Caenorhabditis elegans: one gene and its partners. The protein of the gene in region 3 interacts with the protein of the main gene of each other region in a pairwise test. Each region holds a gene or a part of one and is shown on either strand. Other genes may lie near its edges.

Region 1 (3,756 bases), on a different chromosome or scaffold from region 3:
CCTGGCATGAAATTTGATAAACGATTTCCAGTTCCATGGTAATGACAGTCCGAAGTATTTGGTTCTAAAATGTATGCAATAGTTCGATCAATTTTCCTATTTATTTGGTTGATTTCAATCTTACCGTTTCCTGCAAGTCGTGGATGGTATGGTGGGGTCATAGGAGCATTGAAGTGATGACCATTACTCATTTGATCACTCTGAACAAAAATTGTTTGAATTTTTTTAAATCTAAAAGAAATTGTGAAAAAAGAAAAACCTGAGACACCACTCACCGAAGTTTGCCTAGACACGTCACGCTCGTTGATATATCCTCGCTCTATCATAAAACGAAGGTAGTTCAAATCTTTCATTTTCAGTTTAGACAAAAGTCGATCCATTTCCGAATTTTTCTGTTGAGTCGGTTGACGATCATTGGGTCCAACTCTCTGTCCGCCTATCTCTATGTCCTTCTGACGTTGATAGATTTCACCAGCAACATTCCAAATCGCTTGTTGAAATTGCGGAGGGGGACCGCCGACCTCTCGTGAAGTACGAACATTGGATCTTGATCTTTGGTGCTGTGGTGGGATATGGTATGCTCCAGATCCCAAACGATTCGGATCTTGACCAGGGATGTTGACTGGCCCTGTAACAATGAATTTTGATTTAAAAAATCTCTGAAGAAAAACTTGTCGTAATTTCACTAGAATTTGACATGTTTTCTTGAAGGCGCACGGATTCATTCAGGGTCTCGACGTATAAAAAGTTTATGATAGTCTTTTTTAATTTATACTCCAAAAACTGATTTAAACTAATTTTAGCAAAAAAAATGAATAGAAAACGATAAAGATTGATAAAAACTAAGTCATTGTTTTGAAAAATTCAAGAAAACGAGAAATCAGCCGCAACAATTCAAAAAGACTACCATAAAAATTTCAGCGGGCTGAGACTCATTTCATTAAATTCGAGAAAACCTCGTGAAATCTCTATACCTCCAAATTGTTGAGAAGGAACCCCTTGCGTAGCACGATTCGAGGAACGTTGATGGTGTCCATGAGATGGAAATCCAGCTGAGAACATTGACTGTTGCGGGTATGGGAACGGATTCGGAGACTGAAAACAAGTTGTTCAGTTTCAACCGAAAGTTATTCTTGAAGTTACAAAACTAACCAAAAATCCGTAATCGTCAATATCATCGTCACGAGAACATATTTCATGCTTCTTTTCCTGTTCTTGCTCGACACCGTTTTTAGATAATGATGAAATCGCATCCTTCTCTGCAGCTGAGCTGGTTGGTGGTGGTACAGCTCCAATTGACATGGAAATCCATCTTTCCTGAGCTGGAGATAACGGCATCGAAGAGTTTTGTTCTTTGAAGGCAGTATTCGATGGAATATTCACTGTTAATCCTTTGACGTTGGTTGATGCACGCTTTGTCGGCGACTTTTGAATTTCAGCAGTAGCCGGTCGCTCATTCTCTTCTTCGTTCGAACGATCAATCCGGACCTGAAAAACCAGATTTCTTTGATGTTTCCTACGCTGCTTAACTGACCACTTTACGAAGATCGTCTTCACCGTGAGCATACCAGCACGCGTCGCCATACGAACAGCTGCCCGAGCGTCGCCAGTGATCGCAAATCTTTGTCTGAAACTACAAGGAATGAGTAGATCTTAATTAAAATATTGAAGTGTTAAGAAATTAAAACGTTTTTCCAAAAATAGAACCTTCCTTAATGCGGGGTTATGCTCTCGATTGGAGGTAAAATTTTGATGTTGCCAAAAACATTGAGAAGAATCTTGATACACCGTGTAGTTCCCTAGACTTTCTAAATTTCTGACTGGATCCATATCTGAGTTCAATAGAGGCTGAGGTTGAAAAGAAAACCCCTGAATTTTATTATAAACCAAAAATACACTTTTTCCGAAAATTACCGGCGGAGCAGGAGTAAGTCGACTTTTTAACAAAGATGGTTGATAAAGCATGGTTGGGTGAGTAGGATGGAGAAAATAAAATGTTTTATTAAACACTAATTTCTAGTTATTTTTTTAGCTTTAGTTTTTTCCTCTACCCCCTTCTGCTCTAGTTTCTCACGAACTACCGCTTTTCTGATCTTACTTTCGGTTTTGGGCCGTTTGGTTTATTGCCGTTGGTGCTGTTTGTAAGCGCATCACGGGGATCTATGACGACGCTGAAAATTTTGTTTTTAGCAATTAGTTATTCATACGAAGAATATACCTTATTTCCTGAGTTTTTGACGCAGAGCTACTCATCTATTTACAGAAAAATACGATTTAGAATCTGAAAATGGCTTTTTTAAAAATATTTTACTCAAAAATGGGAAACAAAGAGAAGTTGAATAAATTTAGGTAAGCAAATGAGAAAAAGTACAAATTCAAATGACACGCTAAACAACGCGCGATCGTCATTTCGGAGTGTCGTTGTGCGTTTCTCTGCGTCTCTGCGATTTGTATACTGTTTCATTTCTATATCTTTCAGGCTAAAGCATACACAGTGGACCTATCGGAATACAAAGAAATCAATAGAACCGCCGATTTGGTTAAAAGTGAAGTAGGGAAAGTAGATATTCTCGTGAACAACGCTGGAATTGTGACGGGTAAGTACAGTCGGCTGAAAACATCCAAACTTCTGAAAAATTCATGTACAATACAAAAACACAGTAAATAATAATTTTGTTCCTTATAGAGTTAATTTTTTCCTGTAGAAGACACGAGACCCGAAGAACTCGGGGGATGTCCAATTGGGGGGATTACCAACTCGGGGATTGGCCCCGCCCACAGAACCGTGGCTTGCAATACGCCCATTTCTGCAACTGCCGCACGGTTTTGAAACTGTATTTTTCTTGTTAAATCTCGCTCTATTGAGAAAAATACAGTTTCGAAACCGTGCGGCAGTTGCAGAAATGGGCGTATTGCAAGCCACGGTTCTGTGGGCGGGGCCAATCCCCGAGTTGGTAATCCCCCCAATTGGACATCCCCCGAGTTCTTCGGGTCTCGAAGACACAATGAAGAGTCGCAATACACATGGTATTAATTAAATGAATTTGAATGGCGCGGCGGGACCCACTGGCAAAAAAGCACATCCCTTGCTAATTGCATACTGTAGAGATTTAGAAACATACGAAGTTTAGCGTATTACATATTTTTCATTTTAAGCGAAATATGCCAGATAAAGAGAGAAAACAAAAATCAATAAAATAAATAAAATGATAAGACTTTCGAAAAGGTTCAGTGAACCCATTGTTACTTCACACAAAAATTACAGTAGTAATTTGAAGAATTACTGTAGTTTTCGCTACGAGATATTTTGCGCGTCTGATATGTTGCGCAATACGCATTCTCAGAAATTAGTATTCCCATAATATCTTTTCATAAAAACATTTCAAGGAAAAAAGTTGCTGCAATGTCCAGATGAGCTGATGGTCAAGACTGTTTCAGTTAACACAAATGCTTTGTTCTTTGTAAGATATGACTTTTGTTGAAAAGAGAATACCGAAATTTTCCAGACTACCAAAAATTTCCTTCCCGGCATGCTCGAGTCGAATAAAGGGCATATTGTAACAATTGCTTCAATGGCTGGAAAGTGTGGTGTTGCTGGATTGGTAAGTGATTTAAAACAAAATGTTGACCGCGCCACGAAAAGTTAAAGGGTTTAAGTTAGTCTACACAAAAGGTCGAAAAAAACTTGTGTGTAGATAGGTACGTAGGCATCCCTGTGCCTACATTGTTTTTTTAGATTACATGGTGTTTCATACG
Region 2 (3,756 bases), 2.3 Mb from region 3:
ACCACCCGCTTTCAAACCGGGATGCTTAGAAGGTGATAGAAGAAATGGTGTTAACAGCGCTCACACAGTTTTGTTGTTGGTTGCGCTCGCCGGGGCACACGACAACGGCGACAACGACGCGACGAGTACAGTTTTGTCAGTTGTGTGCATTGTGCATACAGGCGCTCAATACCCGGTATGGGAGAAAGAGAAAGGGATGGGAGAAGACGATGATGGAGAACAGGAGGTATGTACACTTCGGACGATGCTGAAAGTGAGGCAGGCGCCAACGCGTTCTATTATGAGCTCGTACAGGCAAAAATGTATTCGTAGAATAGAAGAAAAAGAAAGACATTGTGATGAAATATAGATTATTCAATTACAAGATTAGTTCGGACAGAAATACCAGAACTAAATGGAATTTTAATGTTTCAGGAAAATTATTGATTAATTTATATTTTTAGTTATTGTCGCTAATGATTTTAGAATTTAGATTTAAAAAATCTCGATAAATGAGCAAACCTGTCAAATGCGAAAATTAACCAATTTCCAGTATCAAATATAGAAATATTTCGAAAAAGGGTAGAGGATGATACTGAGAGAAAGAAAACGGACGGTTGCTCCGTGAACAGAAACATTCAAATCCTCCGTTCAACATATACTATCTCTCGTCGATGAAAGTAGCATCACCGTGTTGCTCGCATAAATGGAAAAGGGAACAGAGCGAACAAAAAATACGGACGCCGATGCAGCAGTTGGCTGCAGCTCTTGCTTCCTTTCTGCACATTTATGAGAGCGCCACGACGATTGATTTCATCGATCTCTTATGTACAGGAGAAGCACCGAAAAAAGGAGCTATATATGTCGAATTCGAAATGAGCATCGTGCGAAAGAAAGAGCTTGGAATTGAGAGATCATTGATAGAGTAGAGGTTTTAGGAGAAATATAAAAAAAATGTTTGCAGTGATGTTCAAGCTAGTCTATACTTCAAAAATCTGATTTCTAAGAGAATAGAAGTTATAGGTTATGTTGAATCCCTACATTTTAGGATCAAGGGTGTCGCTTTTTCGGTTTTTTTTGTTGGAAATTCAACAAATTTTGGTTTTTTGATTTTTCGAAATTTCTCAAAAATTGCTCGAAATTTCAGCGCCTGGGCTTTTTTTAGAAGGAAATTATATTTTCTTTTGTGTTTTATATTCAACAAAATTAAATTTTGATTTTTTTTTCGGAAAACCAAAAAAGTTCGTTTTTCGATTATCTCTCAAAAAAATTGGCATTTTTAGACAAAAAAACTAAAAAATTTATTTTTCGAAATTTATCAAAATTTAACAAAAATTGCTCAAAAAAAAGTTAGATTTTCGATTATTTCTCAAACAGAAAAATTGACATTTTTTAAAAGAAATCCTTGGTTAGCATCAGACCGCACTTTTTTTCGGATTTTGGAAGAGCGAAAAAACGGAAAAAATTTGTTTTCGATTTTCAGAAAAAAAGTTTTTATTGATTTTCAATTACACTTAAAAAATTGTAAAGTCCAAAAAAAATAATAAAATCTCGGTTACTTGTTTGAAAAAAAACTTTAATCAACTTAAATTTTGAATTCCGTATAAGAAAAGTGTTTTCAAATTTTTTTTCGATTTTTTCTTTAAAAAAAAAACGGAATTTTTCGTTTTTTTTTCAAAAGTGAATTTTTTTGGATTTTCTCAACAAAAAAAACCGACAATTTTTTCAGCGGCACCCTTGTTTAGGAAGTCGATTCGAATAATTAGGGGATACCAATGGTTAATATGGACCGAAAAAGGAATCAGAGGTACAATTGGAAGTTCTATGCAAAGTTTCAAACCAGAGAAAATGAGTAAATCAATATTTTAGATAATTTTTATAAATAAAAAAACTCACGCAATAACTGAGAAGATCGATCGTTGCTGCATCATCGTTCAGTTCGATGACCACAAATTTCGGCATCCCGGCCGGGTTCGAATCGTACGAAGACGACACCTATGTATATTATTTATATTATTAGGAATTACAAGAGCACGATAAAGATATTCAGAAATAGAAATAACTATTTAAATAAGAAAAAAGAAATTACCACAAATAATAAAAAGACCGACGATTTTATTGAAAATCGAGTAAGAACAAAATTTGCGTTGTAAAACTTAAAATTAAAAGAAAATATTATAAATATCAACGAAAAAAATTTAAAGAAACTATTAAATTTTTGCTTCTTTTCCATATTGATGATTCGGGAAACACTTTGCCATTGTATCCAGCCATTCTTTTCGTACTTCTGGTGTTCTGAAAAAAATTGACTTTGTAAGATTTTTTTATTTTGGAATGAAACGAATTAAATTCAGTTTTCAAATGGACATCGTCTGAATTGGATTTTATTCAAACATTTTTAATTTTTTTTAATGGAGCGATCTTGCGACAGAATTGAATTTAAAAAAAAAATTAAATATGCTCTTTTGAAACATTTTTAGTCTAAAATATGATCTAGAAAAAAAAATTTCTAAAATTTACATTTTATTCAAAATTTCAAATCTATTTTTGCGGGTTTATGCCAAAAATAAATTTTTGGCTTATCCTCACATTTGGATAAAATTACCATTTTAAATAGAATGGAAAAAAAAAATCTTGCGGTGCAGCTGCAACATTAGTAGCAATTTTCGTAATTTATAAAACAAATTGCGTACATTTTAAAATAATTATACAATTAAAACAGAAACCGGCTTTCATGCTTTTCGAGTGAGATTAGATAAAAAAAAATAATCTCAGTGAATTAGTGATTCAACTAAAAAAGAGCTGTCGCACAATTTTTAAAATCTTTAAAAAATAATTTTTTTAAAATTTTTTAAATTCAAAATAAAAACTCACATCATATTCACAGGTTCGTGTTCCGAATTGTGTTGTGATTGTCCGTGCTGCTTTACACGAACTTTTCGTACAGCTTGATATGGACATTGGGAACATTTGAATGGTTTATGAGTGGAGTGTTTCATCATTACGTGTTCAAAGAAATTCCATTTAGAACCACCAGAATTCAGGCGAATTCCAATTCCACAAATCTCACAAATCGCTGTGACTACATCTCCACAAACACTTCCAGAACTTCCACATGATTTCATTCGTTTTGGAGATGGGGAAACTTTTCCAAAAAGTGCCAAACCAGTCCGTATAGCTTCAGTTGCTAGTTGTTCTTCCAATTCAGCAGTTTGTTCATCAACTTCTTCACTAAATTCATCATCTTCGTCATTGCAAGGTTCCAGTTTAACTTCTACATCAACACGTTCCACTCTGAAATTGAAAAAAAATTATGAAATGAAAATTCTAATTTATTAATTCTACCTGCTCTTGATTGAATTCGTCATGTCCAATTGTGATACAGGGGAAACCGGCAATTCTTTGTTAGTTGGTGGAATTGGTGTTGACCAAAATGGTGTTCCATCTCGAGAAATCTCATCTGTTTCAGGTTCATGTTCATAGTTGGAATATTCTACCGTATCGAGTCTAGGCGCTCGAGGTATACCTGAAAAAACGGTTAAAATGTTTTATTTAATTTAAATAACAGCTGCAATTAAATTAATGTGATAATTTTCTGATGAGAAATAGGAAAATTGTTAGTTTCATCTCTCAATTTCCGTTTTTCGGTCATTTTTTAAATTTTTTAAACGAAATTTCTTCTTTTTTTAGTGAATCTAATTTTCTCGTTTTTGTTTCGTTTTTTAATCGATTTTCCGAAATTCGAAAAAAATCCGAAAAAGAATATATTGATTTATC
Region 3 (3,756 bases):
CGAAAAAGTTTTGATGACAAACTGCAAACGATGCTCCGAACTAACGCCACATGGAAGAGGATTTCTACGACCCCGCAGTAGGCAAATTTGCGGGAATTCAAAATTTAACACTGATAGGATGCAATTTTTTGGAGAAGGGCATTCAGATTCGCTTAAATAAATATTTGAAGTTTCACAGAACATCAAGACTTTGCAAAGAGTGTTAAAAATTCAATAATTAAAAATAAATAATACTTTTATCGGCAAACTTTTTTTAATTTAGTAGGTTTTTTGAGAGCGAAATTTACATCGCACTAGATAGTCTCGAAACAGGAGTGATACCTTTTTAATTCTTCAAAAAAAAAACAAGAAAGGAACCGAGTTTGATAGACAATTGATTTATTTTTGTCCTACGCAAGTATAAATGGGGAAACGGTGTTGGTTCATTATAAAACAACATAAAAACGCTAAAACAGCGATACCAATAGACTACAAACATTAAACGAAAGTTATTATTGCACACAACTAATCAATGAGTGGGGTGGATTCAAGAAGATTGATTATATTAAGGAATTATAGGTATATCACAATTATGACTCATGGCAACAATAAGGTTTAGTAAATTTTTTAAAGATAAAAATGCGATCTCAACTGGAAAAATGTGGATAAAACGTTGAGGGGCAGCAATTTCAGTCCTGGGAATCATGTAGACAGATTGCCGACCTGTCTGAAGATTGATTTACCGCTATCCGGAAGTCGTCCCATTCGCTGCAGAATGATGTACTCGTCGGCTGCTGGAAGTGTATCCTCCGTTGGCATTTCGTCGAATGGCCCAAGATACCGGGTTTGCGATCTGAAAATTTTAATATTTAAATTGAGCCTAAAAACAGCTAGAAAATCCAAACTCACTTGGCAAAGAACTCTCCAGGTGTCAGAAGACCACGGAAGAAGCGATTGAAGTCCTTTGGAATCGCACGAACTCCTGGCAATTGTGTCGGGGAGAGTGCTCGACGACGTGGCTGCCCATTGTCGATATTTCCTGCACGCATATTCTCTTGATTTATGCGATTTGCAGCGTCTTGTGCTGGTCTTCTGGCGTCATTGGCGTTCAATTGCCGCAATGGACGCCGCTCTGGAAGTCGAATCGGAGCCACACGGTTGACACGTGGCGGCGGTGTCCGTCTGATCGCTCTTCTGACGTCTGGTGATGGTTCACGTGGTGGCGGGCTTTGCGATCTTCTGCGGTCAAGCCTGAATAATCTTATTATAGAAACAATTATATAACATTTTGGGACAAACAATTCTCTCCATCCCTTTTCGCTGAGCTCCGAGGCTCTGGTCCATCCACTGGGGAAGATTTGGAATGGATCTGCAGGCGGGGGACACAGAATATCAGCTTCTACCTGAAAATATAAATATTGTAAACGAATTTTAATTCAAGAACTCACAGCACGCAACTGGTCCCAGCGATTTCCATGAAAATGCTCCATAATTAGTGTGTGAAATAGGTGAGAGGGAGAAAAAATGGGTCTGTGGAATGAATGACAAGCGAAAATTTAAATGAAAAAATCAGAATTTTCCCGCGCATAATTTTAATTTTCGACTGATACACTTTCATCGGTAAAATAGAGGCAGATCAATAAAATAAGTAGGTCGAAAATAATTGTTTTTGTTTTTTTTTAAACGCGCGCGCACAAATAGTTCAAACACGATGACGCAAAAATACACAGTTTCGCAGTTTTTTTAAATTTCTTTTGTTTTACAACACTCTTTTCTGAAAAATGTCAGATTTTGACGATTCTGATTCAGAATTTCAAGGATTTGAGCTAAGGTTTGTTTTATTTTAATAACTAATAATAATTCTAATATTAACTTTTACAGATCACCTCAGATCCATGTAAAAGAATTCTTGATAGTCGAAGAAGAAACTCCAAAAATCATCAAAAAGGAAGAGGTTCCAAGGAAGTTCGAATCCGAGTTTGTTGGCTCATTTCTGGGAGAAAGTCCAGTTGTACTTTCAAAAGAAACAGCGTTTGGAGAAGCTGGAGAGTCGGAAGTTCTGGATTGGGATGCCAGTACAGTTTTCAACAGCCTAGCTTGCCCTGAAAACAACCTGTGCGTTTTTTAAAAGTATACATTTTATAAAGAATTAAATTTGCCTTTTTCCAGAGAAAAGTCAGTATGCGTCATTCGTCTCCACGACGTCCTCACAAAATCCGAAATGGGAGTACACAAAATGAAGCGACAACTTATTCATTGCGGGTCGGTCTTGGAAATCAAACTTTTCATCAATTGTCAATTTTAAGACAGCTCCTTGATGAATATTCTCCTCAACAACGTCGTGATTTGGGCTTTGATGATTCTCAAAATGTGAAGAATCTTCTTCAAATGATCCGAGCGTTCCGGTCAACTGTTAAAATCATGCTGATCGACGTGGAGGATCTTCAGGACCAGATTACACAAGAAGCGCAAGATGAGACCCCAATTATATCCAAATTTTCGAAACTTTTATACGTTTCCGGTGCATTAGCCGTCATTCCTATTTGTTGGTTTATGTACCGCAGATTTTGTTAAGTTATCTTTTAAATCTTGAATAAAAATTTAAAAAAAACATATGTTTTATTAAAATTGCTCTTATTCGTAACTATGTACGGATTTATATATATTTTTTTAATTGTACAATTCGCTAAAATGACAGTAAACTACATTTGAAAATTTTATTTAAAAAGAAGCTAACGTCAGTAGCACACTTGTGTCCTGGCCACCTGTCTCTGTTGCCCTCCCATCCTTATCACAGATCACACTTCAAACATCAAACTTCTCAAGGCAGAACTCCTCCCAAATATCACCCGAATTTTTCTTCTCAAAACTTTTCGCCAGTCTCACAACCACGTGTTTCCCAGACCTTCAGTTAACTTCACTTCTCATTTTCCCTGATTTTCTGTCTGCGTCTCTATAAAAAGTAGACAAAAAATGCGAAAAAGAAACGTTTTTGTGTACTCAAGTTGTGACACACTCGCTCAGACTATTGGCTACTGATGGTTTTTAGTTTTTTTTTTGCTTTAGACAATTCTACCTCTAAAAATTAAGATTTTATAACAGTTTTCTAAATTTTTATTAGTTCAGTGAATTTATCATGATTTTTCTAGAGCCCCATCGGAATTAACATTGAAAATTTTACCCAGACGCGTTATTTTTGCAACTTTTGTACTAAAAATACAGAACCCGGTCTCGACACTGCAAAGTTTGTTAATTGAAAAAATATGTGTACCTTTAAAGAGTACTGTAGTTTTAAAATTTCGTTGCAGCAAAATTTTTATATTTTTTCTCGCATTAAACTTTAACTGTTTTTATTGTTTTGTTTTAGTTTTCTTGATAATATTTTGAAATACTTGAGATAATTGAAAAACTGTGAAAAAATCTATGAAAATCATACAGAAACGATAGTTTGAAATTACCGTACATTTTAAAAGCGCACTCCTCTTCGCGTTATTACGGGAACAATAAATCATGAGAATGCGTACTTGGTACCGTAATAAATAAAAAATTGTCGTGTCGATACCGGGTTTTATTATTTTCAGTAAATGAGACGTTCCCATCACTAAAACGTTTTATTTGTACGTTTCCGCTACTTTATTGTAAATAATATTGATAAGAAATCAAATACGCAACACGGAAATTGTTATCGAGTATCAACACACAATTATAATCTTTTCTACTTAATACCGATTCCTTGTTCCACAAATTTGACTTTCTGGTTTTTCCATCTTATAATCC

The links.
Region 1: the proteins of C05C10.5 (region 3) and gla-3 interact in a two-hybrid assay, tested with the Caenorhabditis elegans proteins (one large-scale study listed by BioGRID).
Region 2: the proteins of C05C10.5 (region 3) and lir-1 interact in a two-hybrid assay, tested with the Caenorhabditis elegans proteins (one large-scale study listed by BioGRID).

What each region holds. Positions count from the first base shown.
Region 1 is NC_003279.8:8,212,907-8,216,662, reverse strand, and holds the start of gla-3 (C3H1-type domain-containing protein), read right to left. Parts: upstream 1,966-3,756; coding exon 1,915-1,965; intron 1,870-1,914; coding exon 1,708-1,869; intron 1,634-1,707; coding exon of another isoform or gene 1,628-1,633; coding exon 1,535-1,627; intron 1,489-1,534; coding exon 1,153-1,488; intron 1,096-1,152; coding exon 975-1,095; intron 629-974; coding exon 276-628; intron 201-275; coding exon 125-200; intron 65-124; coding exon 1-64. Other genes in the region: Protein dhs-3, read left to right, coding at 2,480-2,597, 3,388-3,461, 3,507-3,602.
Region 2 is NC_003280.10:7,670,228-7,673,983, reverse strand, and holds the start of lir-1 (LIn-26 Related), read right to left. Parts: upstream 1,980-3,756; 5' UTR 1,942-1,979; coding exon 1,876-1,941; intron 1-1,875. Other genes in the region: lir-2 (C2H2-type domain-containing protein), read right to left, coding at 2,190-2,274, 2,854-3,273, 3,325-3,505.
Region 3 is NC_003280.10:9,936,940-9,940,695, reverse strand, and holds C05C10.5 (uncharacterized protein), read right to left. Parts: upstream 1,657-3,756; 5' UTR 1,470-1,656; coding exon 1,428-1,469; coding exon of another isoform or gene 1,424-1,427; intron 1,383-1,423; coding exon 1,279-1,382; intron 1,231-1,278; coding exon 889-1,230; intron 833-888; coding exon 682-832; 3' UTR 264-681; downstream 1-263. Other genes in the region: C05C10.7 (uncharacterized protein), read left to right, coding at 1,761-1,810, 1,861-2,094, 2,149-2,241, 2,286-2,553.